2 linked regions of the Drosophila melanogaster genome follow. The protein of the gene in region 1 interacts with the protein of each later gene in a pairwise test. Each region holds a gene or a part of one and is shown in the gene's direction. Other genes may lie near its edges. The genes, in order: Ttc1 and HLH3B.

Evidence for each region.
Region 2: the proteins of Ttc1 (region 1) and HLH3B interact in a two-hybrid assay, tested with the Drosophila melanogaster proteins (one large-scale study listed by BioGRID).

Annotation. Positions count from the first base shown.
Region 1 is NT_033777.3:16,438,121-16,447,476, reverse strand, and holds Ttc1 (tetratricopeptide repeat domain 1), read left to right. Parts: upstream 1-4,469; 5' UTR 4,470-4,559; coding exon 4,560-5,074; intron 5,075-5,128; coding exon 5,129-5,405; 3' UTR 5,406-5,634; downstream 5,635-9,356. Other genes in the region: CG14882 (uncharacterized protein), read right to left, coding at 2,775-4,049, 4,100-4,189; ema (endosomal maturation defective), read left to right, coding at 6,059-6,264, 6,318-6,457, 6,521-6,669, 6,727-6,869, 6,926-7,012, 7,074-7,864, 8,120-8,236, 8,304-8,765 and 1 more.
Region 2 is NC_004354.4:2,675,864-2,685,586, reverse strand, and holds HLH3B (helix loop helix protein 3B), read left to right. Parts: upstream 1-3,863; 5' UTR 3,864-3,928; coding exon 3,929-4,253; intron 4,254-4,350; coding exon 4,351-5,156; 3' UTR 5,157-5,388; downstream 5,389-9,723. Other genes in the region: CG2652 (uncharacterized protein), read left to right, coding at 2,763-3,470; sgg (shaggy), read right to left, coding at 8,296-8,486.

The DNA of each region.
Region 1 (9,356 bases):
GATGTTACATGAATTCATTTTGTGGGACTTATATTTATATATTCCCAACTGCAAGAACCACTTTAATGTGTTAAATTAACATACTTTGTATTCGTGGCACATTTTAGTGCAAGCATCGAAGTCTGTAATTTTCAAGTCCATTTATATATTTCAGTGCACATAATTGTACATTCTTGGGCCCATAAACGAATTTCAGGGTGATGACAATTATTAGAGGTCGATGTGTTAATTATTCGCTATCCCGTTCCCTGTTTGCCCCTTTGCTCTTCTGTAGTGCAGTAAACCGAGCTGAATACCTAACAACAATAAGTAATCATAGGATTTTATCTCTTCTTTTTGCAGCACGAGTCAGCGAGGACAGAGAGATGAGCAGGGGCCGAAAAACTCGAAGGAAACCGTCGCCAAACCGTGGATCCATATCGCATCGCTCGAGCAGTTCATCGATGGCAGGGGGGCGGGGTTATCGCTTAGATTAGATTGTCCTATGGCAAATTAGCTTACTTCAACAACGCACACAAACACGCACATATGATATACATAGATACTGTATTATTAAATGTAGGGACATAAGTTTGATTACTCTTTATATACCCGTATATATACATAATTGTGATTTAAGCGATTTTATCAAATCAGCATTATGCGACTCTTTATAAAATTCGTCGTAGTCAGTAAGTGCAAACGAACCCTAACAGAGAACATGCAATACTTGTTGTACATTACCAAAAAACAAAAAAAAAAAATCAAAACAAAACGAAGGCGATAGATATAGCAAGTCGAAATGAGTGTAACAAGTGCCATTAGGACTAGAGCTAGCAGCAGCAAGCGACACACAGCAAGATTATCTCCACAATTTATGCATTTCCCATAGAATACAGATATCGATGCAACAGATAACTAATTAGAGCCAGCTAGACAGAGCTTGTATGTATATTAGCTGATATTCGCAGTGTGGACGGGATTGAGGGATAAATGTTCGATATTCCATTTTAATTAGTACAAACGTAAGACTAACCAAACGCCACAAAAGAACAGATTAAAGTAGATTCCCTTGTTCCTTCCTTGGAGATATTTGCCATACGCACAAAGAAAATTGTAATTCTATACAAGCCCCTATCACAATAGAGATGTTATTTAACGCCGTAATGTGTGTGTCAAAGCTAAAGTGAAATATTGAAATATTGTCCCTAGAAAGACTATATAGATCATATAGAAGTGGTATACGTACACTAAACCTACTCCCAACGGGAATCATAAGCAATGCCAATTGCCGAAGAGAATATATTGAAGAAGGTTTAAACTACCTATTTTTCCATTATCCTCTCAGTTCGATATTTTATGCTATTTCCCACCACCACAAGTTCTATTCGAAAAGTATATCTGTGGGCTAGTCGCCAGACTACAGATATTTTACGAAAACACAACGAAGGCGAATGAAAAAAGGAGTGCATTCAAGGATCTTTCGCCAGCCGGTGTTAGCTTTTTTATCTGTTATATATACACTTACCGATAGGGATTATATTTTACTTGCAATTTTGATATTAATAGGGAAAATGGATTGCTGCTGCTGCAGATCGGTTCATAGTTAAATTTTATATACGAAATGAAATCCCAATATTTGGCCTACAATTATGCATTCATAATTTTTAAAGAGCTTAATTATTAATCGAAAATATACTTGATTTTCTTAGTTTAGCTTAAATGAGTATTAGGCAAGGCAACGAACGGATAGTATTTTGGGGCAGTAGAAACGGGGTTAGATTGCCTTTTTGGAAACCGAAACATACCCGACATTACATATTCGCAAACGCATTTAAGACGAACGCAAAATTTGCAATTAAAAACGTAAATGTAAAATGGAACTTAAGTCTTGAAACCAAACAAAGAACAACATAAAGTAGCATAATTTTTTATACGCAACTTTTATTGCAAATGTAAAGGGACGAATAGGAGAAAGAAGAAGCTGACATCAATTTTGATCGATTCGTAATTATATTAGTATACACTAAAAGAATTGGCTCTATTTCAATTAAACTTAAACGTAGATAAAATACAAAATGCATATTATTGTGCAAGGTCAAAACGACTTGCCAAAATAAACGTAAACAGTATAATAAATAAAAAGATCTAGATATTTAGAGAAGCGGAGAAACAATAACGATACATTAGCGCTTTACCAATCGGTTAAATTCAAAGAGCAAACCCTACTATACGTTTTATGTTTTATGTGTGCACGTTTAATTTGCTTGAAACCTAAGTCGTAATCTATATTCTACCATTATTTAGATATATTTTGCAATTTACCACTTAAGTCAATTTTATACACAGACCCAAATCCATTTAGTACACGTAGTCGTCCCCATCCACTTCGATCATTGAAGATGGCCCTCACAATTGTATGTATTTAGTTTACCTTGCACTGTAATTTTTATTTTGTGTTGTTAAATATATCGTTATTTACTTATTCGACCAAAGCTTTCTGTTTTATAATTATTTACATTGAGGCTGCAGTTAAAATAATAGCAATTGATTTACAAACATCTGAGTGCAAATACTTGCATACATTAGCTACTCAAATGAGCAGTGGAAGTGGTTCCTTTGCTACACTTATTTTCAATTATGAAAATAAACGACCTTAACCGTACGTAAAAACAACAAACACACTAAAAATTCAAATTTTCTGTAAGAGTTACAAACGACTAATATATTAAGGTATTTATTTATAGGGCTTAATTAATGAAGCTTTTATTTTGACTGCACCTAAGACTTGTCCATTACAGCCAAACATCCTCGCGGTATTTGTCCTGCTTCCTCAGTTTTTTTAACAGCTGCGAAGCTTCTTCTTCAGTGAGATGCATAGCCTTCTGCAAGCAACGACTTAAAACACCTGCAATGGACTGCGAAATCTTGGCGCCATCGGCACAAATGTACAACACAGTCTCTGACTTCATCAGGAACTCGACCAGATCCTCACAGTCCTCCTCCAACATATGTTGCACGTAGCTGGGGGATTCGCCTCGCGAGTAACACATCCGTAGGCGCTCGAGCAACGAAGATTCCTGCCACTCCATTAGTTTTTCACGCTTAAGAACTGCTTCTGGGGTCTTGGCACCAATGTAGAGCCAGGATTGCCCGCTTGGCTGTTGCGGCTGCTGTTTTATAAGCTCTTCCTTGTGGGCTAAGAATCCAAGAAAAGGCGCCAGACCTGTGCCAACAGCAATAAGTATTTGGTTTCTGCCCACATCCCGCTCTGTGTAACGGAATAGGTTGCTCATTCGTGGGTAGATAACTACTTTTTTGGAATGCTCCGGACTGCTTTGCTGTGCAGCCGCCTCCAACATGCTGGTTGTGACTCCAGGTTTGAGGCTGAGCAGCGAGTAGATAACGCGAAGTTCGCGATTACTAGCCTCCAAGGGACTGTTGGCAATGGAGTACGGTCGCGGCAGCAGCCGTGGCAAGTGCTCTGCCAGGAATGCCAGTGGTGGCCTGCAGTTGACGCACACTTCAAGAATGTCTATGAAAAGCAGGCCTTGCTCTAATATCAGCGATTGGTAGTACTCGGTGGCCTGTTTAGAGGACAGACAGGACAGGAAACAACGCTCTTTGTCATCGCTTGTAAATCCGGCCAGGGCGCTGAGGAGCTGCTTCTGCGGAACAAAATTAAGGGAGAGGCAGTGGGTAAGGATCTCCCGGGGAGTAGTAGTTGCTGGAATGTGGGCGGGTAGCTTAGCATTCTTATTGGCGCAGTTGAACACCAACTTTAAGTGGCAAGTGGTGTCGGCCTGGTCTAACAGTTCCAGCCGATGGAGCAGACTTTCCACTTGTTCGAGTTTATTAGCAGGCAAAATTCCAATGGTATCCCCGGGCTGGTAATCGAACGTGGACTCCAGAGTCAGCTCCACCACGCGTTTTGTCTCTGTAGCCTTATCAGCAGACACGAGCACCTTGCTCTCCTTTATCTCCACTGAACTTGGCTGGAAATCAGGGCGGGCGAATGGGAACTTTAAAATATCGCAGCATTTAAGTTGGCCGCATGTTTCGGTGGGTCTCTACAAAGATAGGCTTGAAAAGGCTATTCTCACGGTAGCTCCTAACTCACCTGCTCTTCGTCCGTGAAACACAACTCCAGATTACCGACCAGCGGCTTGGCGGGGATGTATTCACTCAATTTATAAGCTCCTAAGTCCATTTTTCCCGTATTTACCAATTCGCATGGGCAGCAGTCAAATCGTTAACAAGCGGTAGTGTTGGAAAGAGTTTATTTACAGCTTCCCTTATCAAGGGAAGCTGTAAAAGATTAAATGTTTATTTTAAATTGGTCTTCATCTTTGCCAAATACAACATTAAGGATTATCCTTAAATTATTTGTTTTAAAAATTATCTGTACCTAACATTTCTTAGCTTGGGAAGGTACCTAATCAGAAACCTACCTTTGTCAACACTGTACGACATCGGTGTTATCGATATGCACAGTTATCGTTAGCATGAGGAGCTTTATTTGTTGCTGAACAACAAACCGAAATCTCCAGTAAATTCGGTAAGGATCAATTTTAAAAAGAATGGCAGGCAACGCCAACAGTGACGACGAATTCCATGATGCGATCGGGGAGGAGATAACCGAAAAAGAGGCCACCAGCACGCGGCAGAGCGAAAAGGACGTGGATGAGATCGTGGAGAAGCAAAACCAGCTGGCGTTGGATGACGAAGCGGAACAGGGCGCGGCTGGTGGAGATTCCATCGCGACACCAACGACAGTGGACTCTGAGCTAACCATTGAGGAGTTGCGCGAACGGGAGAAGGATCTCAGCCCAGAGCAGCTGACAGCTAACAAAGAAAAGGCCGATAAGCTGAAAGTTGAGGGCAACGAGTTGTTCAAAAATGACGACGCCGAAGGCGCCGCCAAGACCTACACAGAAGCCTTAGACATTTGCCCCTCGGCCAGCTCCAAGGAGCGAGCAGTTCTCTACGGAAACAGGGCTGCTGCCAAGATTAAGCTGGAGGCCAACAAAGCGGCCATCGACGACTGCACAAAGGCTATAGAACTGTGGCCGGAGTATGTGAGGGTGCTTTTAAGGTCTTTATTTTAATATCTCCCTTAAAATTTCTAAAGTCTAATTACATCTTACAGGCGCGCCAAGCTCTATGAGCAAGAAGACAAGCCCGACGAGGCTCTGGAGGACTACAAAAAAGTTACTGAGATCGATCCCGGTCAGCAGGAGGCTCGCGAGGCTCAGATTCGGCTGCCGCCAATTATAAACGAGCGCAACGAGAAGCTCAAAAACGAGATGATGTCCAGCTTAAAGGACCTGGGCAACATGATACTCAAACCGTTCGGACTGTCTACACAGAATTTCCAAATGCAACAGGATCCCAACACGGGCTCGTATTCCATCAACTTTAAATAAAAACCTAGCTAGCTAATGCTCTGCAGATCAACAAATAAAGCCGTATTCGTGGATGATGTGTAAAATAATAGTCAAACTGTAGCAAAACGTATCAAATTCAGTTCTCGTACATTTTCACCTCTGTAGAATATGCAAATGTGAACCCATTTTCATAACAAACGGTACCAAAAAAATCCATTAATTATATTTAATGTAAAATGCATGGTGTGATATGCTATTAATATATGAGGTTTGTTCCAAATTTTACTGTCTGGTTTTACAAAATTCAAACGGTTCTTTTGAGAGGTTTTTAAAAGTCGTGAACCAGTCGCAGTTCTCATGCAATCACAACAAAATAGCCACTTGTCATCTCTGTTACTTCGATACCGATAACCATAAATATGGGCGGAAGCAACAGCTGACTGTGACACTTGTGTTCCCCGTGAAGAAGAAGAGCAATTTGTTGGAAAAAATCGCCATTCGCAAATTACAATATTAGATTCGTGCAATCGCAGGCATTAGGTGCCCCCTTATTGTGGGCCAACCCAGTGGCGTGACCGTGAGCAGTAGTGCATGCAAAGATCCAAGAGAACAGCGCTCCCGCACTCCTCCTTACCCTGATATGAGAGCAGTCAGGCGGATCGTGGCCAGTTGATTCCATCCTAGTTGCCAACATGTTCCGGAGTCGCAGCTGGTTTGGCGGACCCTGGGGTGGGCGGCCCAAAAACCGCTTGTCGCTGGAGCACCTTAAGTACCTGTACAGCATTCTGGAGAAGAACACCACCGTGTCGGAAAGTAATCGTGGCCTGCTGGTGGAGTCGCTGCGCTGCATCGCAGAGATCCTGATTTGGGGCGACCAGCATGACTCGCTGGTGTTTGAGTGAGTATTAAGCATCTCAATGTAATAAACCTTAATCTAATTATTTGCAACAGCTTCTTCTTGGAGAAGAATATGCTATCGTATTTCCTGCACATAATGCGACAAAAGAGTGGAGGCTCGAGTTTCGTCTGCGTGCAGCTCCTTCAGACTCTCAACATCCTCTTTGAGAACATACGCAACGAGACGTCCCTGTGTAAGTACAATTTTCAACAGTTTCTATAATACAGTAGACGTAATCATTCCTATGACGTTGCAGATTATCTGTTGAGCAACAACCATGTAAATTCTATCATGGTGCACAAGTTTGACTTCTCCGACGAGGATGTGATGGGCTATTATATACTTTTTTTAAAGACGCTAAGTCTAAAGTTAAACACTCACACAATACACTTCTTTTACAATGAGGTTTGCATTGCCTAAAACACATATTTACATCCATTTAATGTGACATATTCCTTACAGCACACAAATGACTTTCCCTTGTATACAGAGGCTATTAAGTTCTTTAATCATCCCGAGTCAATGGTGAGAATTGCAGTGCGCACCATTTCCTTAAATGTCTACAAGGTTCAAAATCCAAGCATGTTGCGTTTTATTCGAGACAAGTACGACCTTTGCCTTCAGTCCCATGAGCTCCATTAAACTATTTTTTTCTCCCTAGAACGGCTGCTCCATATTTCAGTAATCTGGTCTGGTTTATCGGCAAACACATTCTTGAACTAGACACTTGTGTTCGCACAGATATAGAGTAAGAGTTATTGTAATATAGTCCCTCGTTTTATAGTATTGATTTCTTAATTCATCCGCAGCCATCAATCGAATCAAAAGCTGTCCAATTTGGTTGCCGAGCATCTGGATCATTTGCATTATTTGAGTGACATTCTTCTACTGGAAATCAAGGATCTGAACGCGGTGTTAACCGAGCACTTGCTGCATAAGCTATTCGTGCCTCTGTACATATTCTCACTTACACCAGCTCCGCCCCCGCCCTCACTGGCAGTGGTTACCCAGAATCTAGCTGCTGTGCTTAATCGCAATGTGGACATCGACATACAGGAGATGCACAATCCGCGAGTGAGCTCCATCGTGGCCCTTTTCCTGCTCTCATTGGTCTTCCTGGTGGTTTCGCATGCCCCTCTGGTGCACGCTCTGGCCTGGGTTATCCTCAATGGTGACCACAGCGTTTTTAAGGAGGGTGCAGCCGAGATTCTTAATTCATACGTTGAGCACCGCGAGGTGGTTGTGCCTGGCTTCGGCGAGCCCGACGAGAGTCTCGAACAGGCCTTGGATACAGTCACCGGTCAGTCCAGCTCGTCCAGCTATGCCCTTAGCGAGGACAGTGGCGTGGAGTCCTCATCCCCAGCCACCACAGAACTGGACTCTCAAGCAGATGCGGTTGAAGCGGAGCAGATTAAACTGCGCAACATAACTGACGAGGAAAAGCAGCTGCTGCAGAAGTCATCTTCCTCAACGAAGGCTGACTTTGCTGAGATGGCCAAACCGTTTTTAGACACGGTCCTGCATGCTTTGGACTGCACCGAAAACGATTACCTTGCCCTGCTGTCGCTGTGCCTCATATATGCTATGTCGCACAATAGAGGTAATATTCATGGATATTTCCCTTAACTCAATTTGACGTTTTTTTTGGCTAATGTTGTGTAACTTTCCATTGCTCTGATCACCCCATTTTTGCTTCATTCTAATTGCTTTCTTTGTGTGTAATGAAAATGTCACATTCTGGTACATGTCCCAATCCGTTCAGATGGTATGTAACTCGTCCACTGCCCGTACTAATCAATCGTATGCATCTATCATAGTCTCCTTAATAAATATCTTTATGTACCTTTCCATATAGGCATCAAGAATGAGTGGTTCGAGCAGGTTCTTGCAAAATCAACCCGTGGCGCCTTCAGTTATAAGACAGCCTTGATTGAGCATCTGTTAAACATCATCACCCAGTCCAGTCAGCCATGTATGTACAACTGTTCGAACTCCGGTTATCATTAGCTCTTTAATAATTCCATTTGAATTCCCTAAAGCGTCCCGCATTCGGTTGATTACCGTGGAGATTGCCTTGGAGTTACTGGTCACTTTCACCCGTCCCAGCTCGGATGATTCGCGCTGCATAACCGCCGCACAACAGGATCTGCTCTTCAGCGCCCGCAATCAGTCGATGGTGGTGATCCGTAACTTCTACAAGTCGGAGGACATCTTCCTAGACCTGTTCGAAGACGAATACAACGAGATGCGAAAGGCGCAACTGAACGTGGAATTCCTGTGCATGGACTCCACCATTCTACTGCCTCCCACGGGAACGCCACTTACTGGAATCAACTTTACGCGACGACTTCCCTGCGGGGAGGTGGAAAAGGCACGCCGAGCCATTCGCGTTTACTTCCTGCTGCGTCGCACGTGCCAAAAGTTTTTGAATGAGAAGGAATCGCTATTGCCGCTTACAAATGTAGTCAATCTGGTTCAGGTGGAGAACGTACTCGATCTGAGTAAGTATACTCCTCCTACGATGATGTATGTATATATTAAGGCTAACCATTATCCATCTAGACAATAGTGATCTAATAGCCTGCACCGTTGTGGCCAAGGACAGCAGCAAGCAAAGACGCTTTCTGGTCATTGACGCATTGCAGCTAATTCTCGTCGAGCCGGATGCAAAGCTGCTTGGCTGGGGCGTGGCAAAGTTCGTTGGCTTTCTGCAGGACGTAGAGGTGCAGGGTGATAAGGATGACTCGCGCTGCTTGCACATCACCGTGCACCGGGGCGGAGTCACTCACAACCGCACTCCGTTGCTCTCGGCTAAGTTCCTGTTCGACGATCACATCCGTTGCATGGCTGCCAAGCAGAGGTTGACAAAGGGTCGTAGCAAGGCGCGACAAAAGAAGATGTACCAGATTGCGCAACTCATCGAGATTCCTGGACAGATGGACTCTCCCGTCTACGCTGTTGGTGGCACAATGGTCGCATCCAGTAGCGGCGGAAGTGGTAACAGCAGTGGCAGCAGTTCGCGCAGTAGTCACCACCGTCCCATGTTCTCCACGGCCAATCGAGTGCCGGGATTTGCAGCGGTGCTGCGTGGA
Region 2 (9,723 bases), on another chromosome or scaffold:
GAACACTAGTGCTCGCATCGCAAGCTCCGGTGTATAAGCCCCCGTGCACTCGCATTCCCAGAATTTTCTCACACTCACTCGCTGCTCTCCGCCGTCGCTGAGAATCGCTGGGAATCGCAGTCGCTCGGGAAATCGCTGGTCGGCTGAGATACTCGGACCCAAACATTAACCCTTGGGCGAAGCTTTTGCGCGAACAACAAAAGCAAGTAATTGGAATGCCAAAGACTCCCTTTTCCATAGCAAGAAACCCCATTTATAGATTGCTATAATGTTGGATATCTTTCTTTTTCATAGCTTCTATTGAATACTAGTTTCTTTTGGTTTTTATCTATGCTGTGGGATACGTTACATGGCACTGCCGATGCCAAGTGTCAATCCAAGCCCCACGCACCAACTGCAGGTTAAGGAAAGCTATGGAATCCCCTGCCTTTTTGGGGCTGCCTGGTGGGCGGCTGGCAGCACGTTTTCCGAGGGGTGTTTTCCGGGGAGCCGGCTGGGCGGCGGATTTGCTGGCCAAGTCACGCAGTTCGCCACGTGAGCGGCGGCTTTTCACTGCCTACGGCTTTCTCGGACGCTTTTTGCACTCGGACCCGTCCCTGCCCCACCATGAATTGTGCGAACTCGCACTGGCACTGGCATTTCGCAACGGCATTACTCACCCACCCACCTGGTCATCGTCCAAGTGCGGCCAGCAGTGCACCAGAGCGCCAGTCCGCAGTCAACGCAGTGCATCGGTCTAGCAGCTCGGCTCTCTAGCACGGATGAAAAGTTGAAAGTGGCGCCAAGCTTTTGGGGGCTTCTGTTTCCCGTTTGTCCCGTGGAAGCTCTACCTGGGCAGGTGTGCGCGGCGTGCGCTGAAACACGTACGGAGTGGGATGATAGCGACAGCTGATTTTCCCTGGCTTTTCCGCCTCCGCCCAGCTGGCTGTTGCGCGCTGTGGCCCACAGGTGGCGTTACACATACCTGCCAGCAGGGGATTCCCCGTCTTTCCACGAGGGGTTGATGAACTCCGAGCGGTCGAGTGGTTCGGTTCGATGCTGATACTACTGCTATGCAGTTACAAATGATTATTACTTGCAATTTCTGTGCATTGAATTTGGCTTTTAGTCTTCGCAATTGAAGGGTTAAAAGTTGAGGCATCTGATAAATAGGAAATGATTTTAGCTACCCCCTCATAAAAGCATATTTTTATGGACCCCACAACTTCTTTTTTTTTCGGAGCATTTTTTATTATCCTAATCCGATCGAAGTGCCCAAGGATGTCTTTATGCCTTATCAGCCGTCCCATCGGCCTGCGGTGGCTTTGAATAATTGAATTCTATTAATTGGCGGCTTTGCCGACGTCGAGTGGGTGTGAAAATCCATTTGACCCGGCACCCACTCCACACGCAGCTCCTTTGTGGCCACGTGTGTGGTGTTTGCCCAAGCTAGCCGGAGTTTGCTGGCATTTGCTGGGGCTCGCTCTTATCTATCGCGGCCACACACGTGCCACAAAGTCACAGACGCCTGCCCGAAAATGATAAAGTGCGTTCGAATTAGCCACCAAACTGCTGCTAATTTGATTTTGATGCTGCGACTGTTGACTTGCCGCACTTCGCCACTCCCCGTCGCGTTTTGATGTGCTGTGATTTCATTTGATTGCCGCTAATCGGATTCCGGGTGGTGATTTCGGGTGAGTGTCGGTCGGACTGTGAGCGGGATTAGAGCCGAGTTCCCAAGGCCCACCCTTTCAACGTCCAAGTGGCGTAGGTCCGAGGACCTGTGGACCCATGAATATGGATTGCGATTAGAGGATGGACGTAGCACATCAGGTGGCATTACTGGCACCACAATTCCGTCCCAGCGTTGAACTGTAAGCACAAACGGAGATACAAGCTCAAGTGAAATTACTTCAGCACTTGACTACTTTCTGATGAGATAGATGTCTGTAAAAAAATTATATCAATGTAATGAACAGTTTAAATTAATATCAGAAATATAGTGTCATATTCTCCAAACTAGGTTTCCTTGGGAAGTCTCGTTTAGAGCTGCTCGGTTGGCAACTTATGAAGGAATATAACAGATACGGGGCTCAGATCAGGTGGACTTGAAGCAGACCTTTAAACGAAGTCCTTGGCCTTGGAGCACCTACAGATTGCACTGAATGGTCTCGCTATCCTCAAAATGTCCACATTAGAATTCAGCTGCCCCGCTGAACTGAAGTAACGTCGCTGTGCCCGGAATATTCCCGGCCAAGTAAATGCCCGGGCCGCACCAACCCCAAATTCCTCTGACTTAGCACTTAACTCCGCCCTTCGGAGTCTGCGCATTGCGTACTCCCAAGTCCGCTAACTCTTCCCTAGTCCACCAACAAATTCTGCGTTAATTAATTAGAAAAAATCACAGTTTAAGGCGTGAAAAAATCGGAGATGGCCCGTTGTAGGACGACGAAGGCGTTGAAATTTCAACGCCTTTCGCGAAACTTTTGAAGAACCTTAATCCCAAGTTGGGATTAACATCTGCTTCGAGGGGGAAAACAAGGTAGCAGACATGCAACGGTTATTAGGTAGTATGATAAAATCTATAAAAAATTATATGTACATTAGTTATTACTTTAGTTAAATGCATATCTAGTGGGCTTCTGTTTTTGCTGTCGCTCTCGATTTGAAAAAGCATCACACCAAGCAAACAAGTTAAAGTTGCCTTCAAATTTTCGTAGAAAAATTTTTAGTTAAACATAAATTGAAATTAGTTTTTTTTTTTTTTTTTTTTTTGAATCGTGATGAGCTACACAAATCTCCTGCGCCATCAGAATGTGGTCGATGACTGCCAGCGGGTGAGCTGCAACCGCACTCCGCCGATCACTGTCACCGGGCGCTGTGTGATCAGTCGGGACATCGTGATCGGCTGCCGCATGGAACAGTGCGATCCGGACATGCCCTACATGCTGGAGCCGACGTGGGGCGTCTACCTGCGCCCAGGTCGCGATGGCGGCGACCTGTCGCGGTTCGTGCGGCGCGTCACCTTCAAGATGTCGCCGCGCCTGCCGCTGCGACTGCACGTGGCGGACAGCGCTCCGTTTGAGATTGGCGAGGTACTGGGCAGCGACTTTCCCGTGGAGGTGCAGGTGCAGTATATGGATGCCCGCATGTCGGCCACCTCGTACATCTTCCGGCCGCGCGTGGTGCGCGAGGGTCACGCCGGTATTTGCGAGGAGATGCTCGACAAGATGATATTCGTCAATCCCTCGCCCATGATGAGACAGAATCTAACGCCCGTGCTTGTGCCCAGTGCAAATGGTGCGCCCGGGGACAGGACATCGCCCCAGTTTGCAATGGAGTCCGCCATGCCGGAGACACCGGGTGAGCGAAAGGAACAGGACCGGGATCGGGAGCAGGTGGGCGATGTGGCGCGACCCTCGCAGCCGCCGGCAAAGCAGCCCAAGAAGCGTCTAAGTGTGGGCATACCCCATCCCATCGGTCATCAGTAGTCGTGTATAGATACATTGGGCTCTATGAAAGGAACAACTGAGAATGTTTGTTGTCCTGGCATGTGCAGTTACTGGATTGGCATTGGATACGTTTAAATTACTAAATAAATTATGAATTTCATTTACTTCTAAGACAGCTGCTTATGCTAATATATATTATAGTTTGCTCATACTCGTTTTATGTTTTGGTATCTAATCTAATCAAAAAGTAACAGGCTCGGTAAGAAGTCAGCCCAACATTGGTAACCCAAACGTACATACATATGTATGTACGAGTACGCCCATTTTGTGTGTATGCCTCGTCCGGGGGTGGATGCTGCGCCATTGGCCCCGCCCTCTGTCCATAGGGGGTTGGTTCCCAGACACACAGTGCCAGTTACCCAGTCAGTTGCTCACTTTGCTGCTGCGCTTCGAACGCAACAGAACGCACGTATCCTCTGCTCCGGCGAATCGGAGAGATGGCCTGGCTACCGAGCAGCTCGAACGGAGCGGATAACGCGGACGAACGGAGCACCGCCTCGAGCGGATCCTCCGGCCACAGCCAGACCAACGAGTCACCGCGATCCGGGCACCTGAACGGTAATGGTAGCATGCGGGACACTGCCGCTGGCAGGCATCCGCCCGCCCTGCTCCGACATGCCACGCCCCACCTGCAGCCCAAGACGGAGTCCATATCCGATGGAGACGGTGACGCGGAGCTTTCCGACTTCTCGCTCAACGACACGGAGGAGGACGAGGAGGATCTTCGCGATTACATCGTTCTGAATGGCAACCAGGCGGATGGTGAGGCTTAGTCTTTAAAACTTTAGAGCTCCTAGAACATCCCGTAGTTCCCAATTTCTTATATACATAACGCTCGATTCCTTTGTTCCGCCCGCAGCGAATCGCTCACTGTCCAGTTCGCCGCGCAGTCACTCCCGCAACGGACTGCTGACCGCGCCGGCCAGCTCCGGAAGCTCAGTCGGCGGTAGCGGCGGTGGTGGAGGCAATGGCTCCGGCGGCAATGCATCCAGTGGCGGCGGCAGCGGCGTAGGAGCCACCGGCGGTGTGCGCAAGGTGTTCACCAACACAAGGGAGCGATGGCGCCAGCAGAACGTGTCCGGTGCCTTTGCAGAGCTGCGCAAGCTGGTGCCCACACATCCGCCGGACAAGAAGCTATCGAAGAACGAGATCCTGCGCTCGGCCATTAAGTACATTAAGCTGCTGACGGGCATCCTCGAGTGGCAGCAGCGGCAGGCGCCCTCGCATCCGATCAGGGCTCAAATGGAGCCGAACAACAACGACAATAGGATGGCCAATGGCCATGCGGCGGACGGGGAGAATCTGGAGAATCCAGATGTTCCGCCTGTACGGCACATCAAGTGTGAACGCACCGACGGGCAGATGCACAGGAATGGCATTGGGCACGGACATGCCAACGGAAACGCTGGCAACGACCTGCTGATGATTGCCCCGGGAGCCGTTGTCAAAAGCGAGCTTCTCCTGGAGTCTACACTCCCACTTGGGCATCCGTTAAACGGCCCACCCCTGCCGTTGACCACTGCTCCGCTGGCCATGGCCGAGACTCAGCGAATCAGTGGCACCGTATCCGGTGTAAAATCGGCCAGCGGACGGAGTAGCAAGCGACGCCTCAAGCCGGAAGGCGGAGCCACCGATCTCAGTCTGGGCAAACGGCGCAGGACGTAGAATAAGGAATCTAATGGATGGAATCTTGGAAAAAGTGGATACCGGCTTTGCCAAAGCATTCGGAGATAGTATACTATCCCCGATTTGCTATTTTTTTTATCTACCAATAAATTACAAAGTTAATAGTGCAAATTGCAGATGCAGAATCAATAGTTATAGTTTGTATTGTTTATTCAAATTTCATTCTAAATAATTTACGGTTTAAAATAAAAAGCAAATTCGACAAATCATTAAAAAAAAAAACTTGCAACTGTGAATTGAATTTCCAATCGAACGAAATCAGTAAGCAAGTAACATAAATCATAAAATTAGGATGGTGAGCCAATCTAAAAAAAAAACATCTAAAATCCAAAAATCTAATAAATTTGCCACAAATTGTGTAATTATACTAATTTTTTTTTTATAGCAATAAAAATAGTTGTCAAAAAGTGGAATGTCATACCTCGTTGAATTCGTAACAAAATTCCCTATCGACCTGTATTGAAAATTGGAATTTCGAAAATTTTGCAATTTTTCGCAAATTTTAATGATGGTACCCCTTACCGAAAATCTGAAAAGTGAAAAAAAAATTTTTTTCCCAGGATCGTTTAAATAGTGATAGTAATAGTTAGCTATGACTATTAAACATGTTTTGGAGAAAATCGAGTTTGTAAATATTCGATTTTTGACGAACTGGAATTCCAGAAGTTGACACCTTCTACTGATTATGGTGGCCTGGTGTTGAGAATCAAGAAAGCCACAAATATTTTTTATTTTTGCACGGTAAGTTGAAAATTATCGGTTTTCAAGCTACAACCAGACATTTGTAAATATACTTTCTCAGCCCAAAAGTATACTACATTTTGCCACCGAAATGAATAAATACGCATTTCTATATATATTTTTGTTTGTAATTTTTATTGTTTTTAAATTAATGTTTTCTTTACGCATTTGTCTCGTGTTCATTTTCATTTCCTCTTCGAATTTGGGGGTTTCCTGTTGTTATTGTTTAGTTTAGTTTTGTGTTTATTTGTTAATTAAGTTAATGTTTGGTTTGAATTTCTCATGAGGTTGTTGCCTCATAATTAAAGCGAAACGCTGAAGTTGTTCATCATATATAAGTTGGTTTTTTCTATGCATATATATGTTTGAATATATATTGATTTGGGCTGTCATTTTTCATCTGTTGACATTTTCAAATACAAATAAACGGTGTGTGTGTGTGTGTGGGTGTGTTTAAAGATTTATATAACTTGTCTGCTGTTTACTTAGATTATTACTAAAATGTTTGGGTCTTAGTTTGGAAATCTTCGGTTTCTTTTTCTTTCTAATTTATTTGAAATTATAGACGTATGTGCGTGTGAGTATGTCTGAATGCTCGAATGTGTTCTTGTGTGGGTGTGTGTACATATATGTATATAGTTAAATTTAATTAGTTTTGATGCCACAAAACTCAACGTTCATTAATTGTATAAATGTATCATTTAGTTAGTAAAAAAAAAAAATATGTTCTCGTACAATATATAAGGATTTCTATGGAAATACATACAAATAGACTTGGTTTTGCTTTTGCTTTTGCCCTTTGCCCTTTGCCTTTTTGCCTTTTTGCTATCATTTTCGCTTTGCTTACTTAGTGGTTTGTAAATGGGTTAAAGTGCTGGGACATACATAATCGCAGACATAAATTTTTAAAACGAGATCTAAGCAGTTTAACTGGGGTGGTTGTCATAGGTATATATAGTAGATAGATTGGAACCAATACTATAGTTGCGCAGAAGTTTTCGGTTGATCGATCTAAGGCCTTACGTACTAAAACCATCATCGGTTTCATTGTATTTTACTTCAATTTGTATTAAATTAGTTTAAATTTTCAATTGCAGCTAAATGTCCTTTTGTCGATTACTTTTACATATATCAAGATTGTGGCTCCACTATCATCTCATTATCTCATTATTTGCATTGTTTTTTGTTTTTTTTTAAGTTAATGGGTGGCGTCGCGCGCTAAAAGCGATTTACTCATTCATACATTCACTTACTTGTTGCTCAATTTGTTATATTTCTTGTATTTATGTATAGTGTGTTTAGTGTATATTGCATTTTGACGATCGCTTTCTTAGATAATCGTACATGCTATACGTTACTTAAGAACAGGCCACGGAAAATGTTGCTATGCGTGGAAAGTTGCTTTTCTTTCTTTTTTTTTTCACGTTATTTGGGGAGTTTCCGGTTCAAGGATTGGAAAGGGGGGTGAGTGGTTCCGGGGGTTGCTACTGAGATTACTACTCTTGTTAATATCTCGTATATATATATATATATGTATATATATATATATATATATATATATATATCTATGTTTATATAATATCTATATCGTATTTATATAGATGCACTTGCGCGAGTTTAGTTTATGTTGTATCCGCCCTTTTGCTAGTTCCTCTTACTTGCCGCCTTTAATTGTTTACTTTTACTATGGATTGCTAACTGCTGTGATCGTTATATATATTTGTATAACCGCGCATATATATAAACGTTAAATGGGCAAAAATTTTGATTTATTTCACTAAGTATTTCATTCAAGTTGCTTCTGCTTTTTGTTTTTTTTTTTGACTTAATTTATATTACGTTCCGCGATCTGGTTGTTAAGTGTTATTTACTATATTGAAGGTTTGGGACGCGGGCGAGGGGTTTTCCGATTATTTCTCAACATTCCTTCGGGGATTTCTCTTTCTCTTTAATAGTACAGATAATTATTTTAATTATTTATGCATAGTTTAAAGTGGATTTTTGGTTTTATTTCGATTTTATGCTAAATATTTGCTTGCGCCCAATGCATATAGCTAGATATACATACATACATGTGTGTGTGTGTGTGTTTGTGTTAGTGTGTGTGTGTGTGTGTGGATGGGTTTATTGTTGTGTGGGGGTGTAAGGATACTGGGCGTTTTGTGTAGTGAATTCCTTTGTCTCATTTCATTTACTCATAGCTTCTGCTGGGACATCCGACATCTCTTTCATATTTCGAGTGTAGCTGCGTGTGTGTATGTGTGTGTGTGGTGTGTGGTGTTGTCATCTCGCTCTTGGCCGACATGGGTTAACTGAATCCCCGGGCCGAGCGAAAAACCTGCTAATAACATTACATTTAAAGAGCTACTCGCTCGCGCTAACCCGACGCCGCTGCCTCGGTTTCTGCTGCTCCGCCTCCAGATGCGATTGCTCCACTGTCGCCAGCATCGTTATCCCCGCCGTTCCCGCCTCCTGAGCCCGATCCGGATCCGGAACCCGAGCCGGCTGCCTCTCCGTTTCCGCTTCCGCCACTTCCGCTGCTATTGAGGGCGCTGTTCGATTGCGAGCCTACAAAACGATTCAGAGCCAAAGAAGGAAAAAGATATACAGATGTGGATTGCTATTCGTATGGATTAAGCTTTATGTTGTTTTTGTGGGTGATTCGCTTGGGAGGCCCAAAACAGAGCAGACCCAGCCATTTCACACAGTTGCAAGCCACCATTTCCTAGAAGCTCAATCAGAATGCACAAGCCATCGTTTAAGTAAGAAATAATATTGAAATGATTTAAAAAAAAAACGCATGTTTAACTGAAATTACAAATAATTATACTTAAACATTAAGTATGGCGAATCGATTAAATCGATTAGAATCGATGTTATCCCACCCATTCCGAGCCCAATTACTTCGGAGAGGGGAAATGAAGATGCAGACGAAAGGTTCACACACTGAACAAAATGATACTGTGGATACGGTGGTTAAAAGGAAAGGCAACAACAGAAGGTTTTACTTTGTTTAAATATTGTATTTGTTTCTCTTTTTATTTGTTGGATTTTGTTGTATTCATTTATTATCATTATCATTACGGCTTCTTTGCTCATTATCATCAACGAATCTAAATATTATCATGATTATTACAGCATTACATATACAATTGTCGGTGTATGCACGTGTCTGTGTATAGAGTGTGTGTGTGTGTGTTATGTAATTAGCGAGTCTAAAAATAAGCTAACGTGTTTAATTTTTCATGATTCTTTTTTTTTGCATTTTTTTTCAAGGTTTTCCAGTTGTTCTTTTTTTTTTTTTTACTCGCGTGTGCCTAAGTTACTAGGAAAATGTATTTTATTCTGCGTGTGTGTATTCAATAATCGTTTATAATTAGCATAATAATTAGTTTTAGGTCGATTATAATAAGCTATAGAAATAAATATAAGTTTTTTGCTCATCATTTTTCATCATATCGCTTATGCAATTCGCTTCGTTCTTCTCATTTTTTCTTTTTTTTCTTTTCTTCTTCTTCCCTTGCCACTCTGAGCAAGAAATTGTTAATAATATTCAGTAGCAGCTCTGTGCGGAAATTGTGGCGAGCGGGGGAGCGGGGAAGGAGCTTTTTGGGGGCGAGGCAGGACGACACTGACTATCTATGCGAATAATAATAATGGAGCTCTACGGTGGCGGGAACCCGGTTATTTGGACCTTATCTACATATTGCAACTAATCCGCCGGTTCTCAGGCGCCAGCTCCACGCCTGCGCTCTCTTCCTCCTCCGTTCTGTATGTCCGTATGTGTCCGTATAACTCATCTACT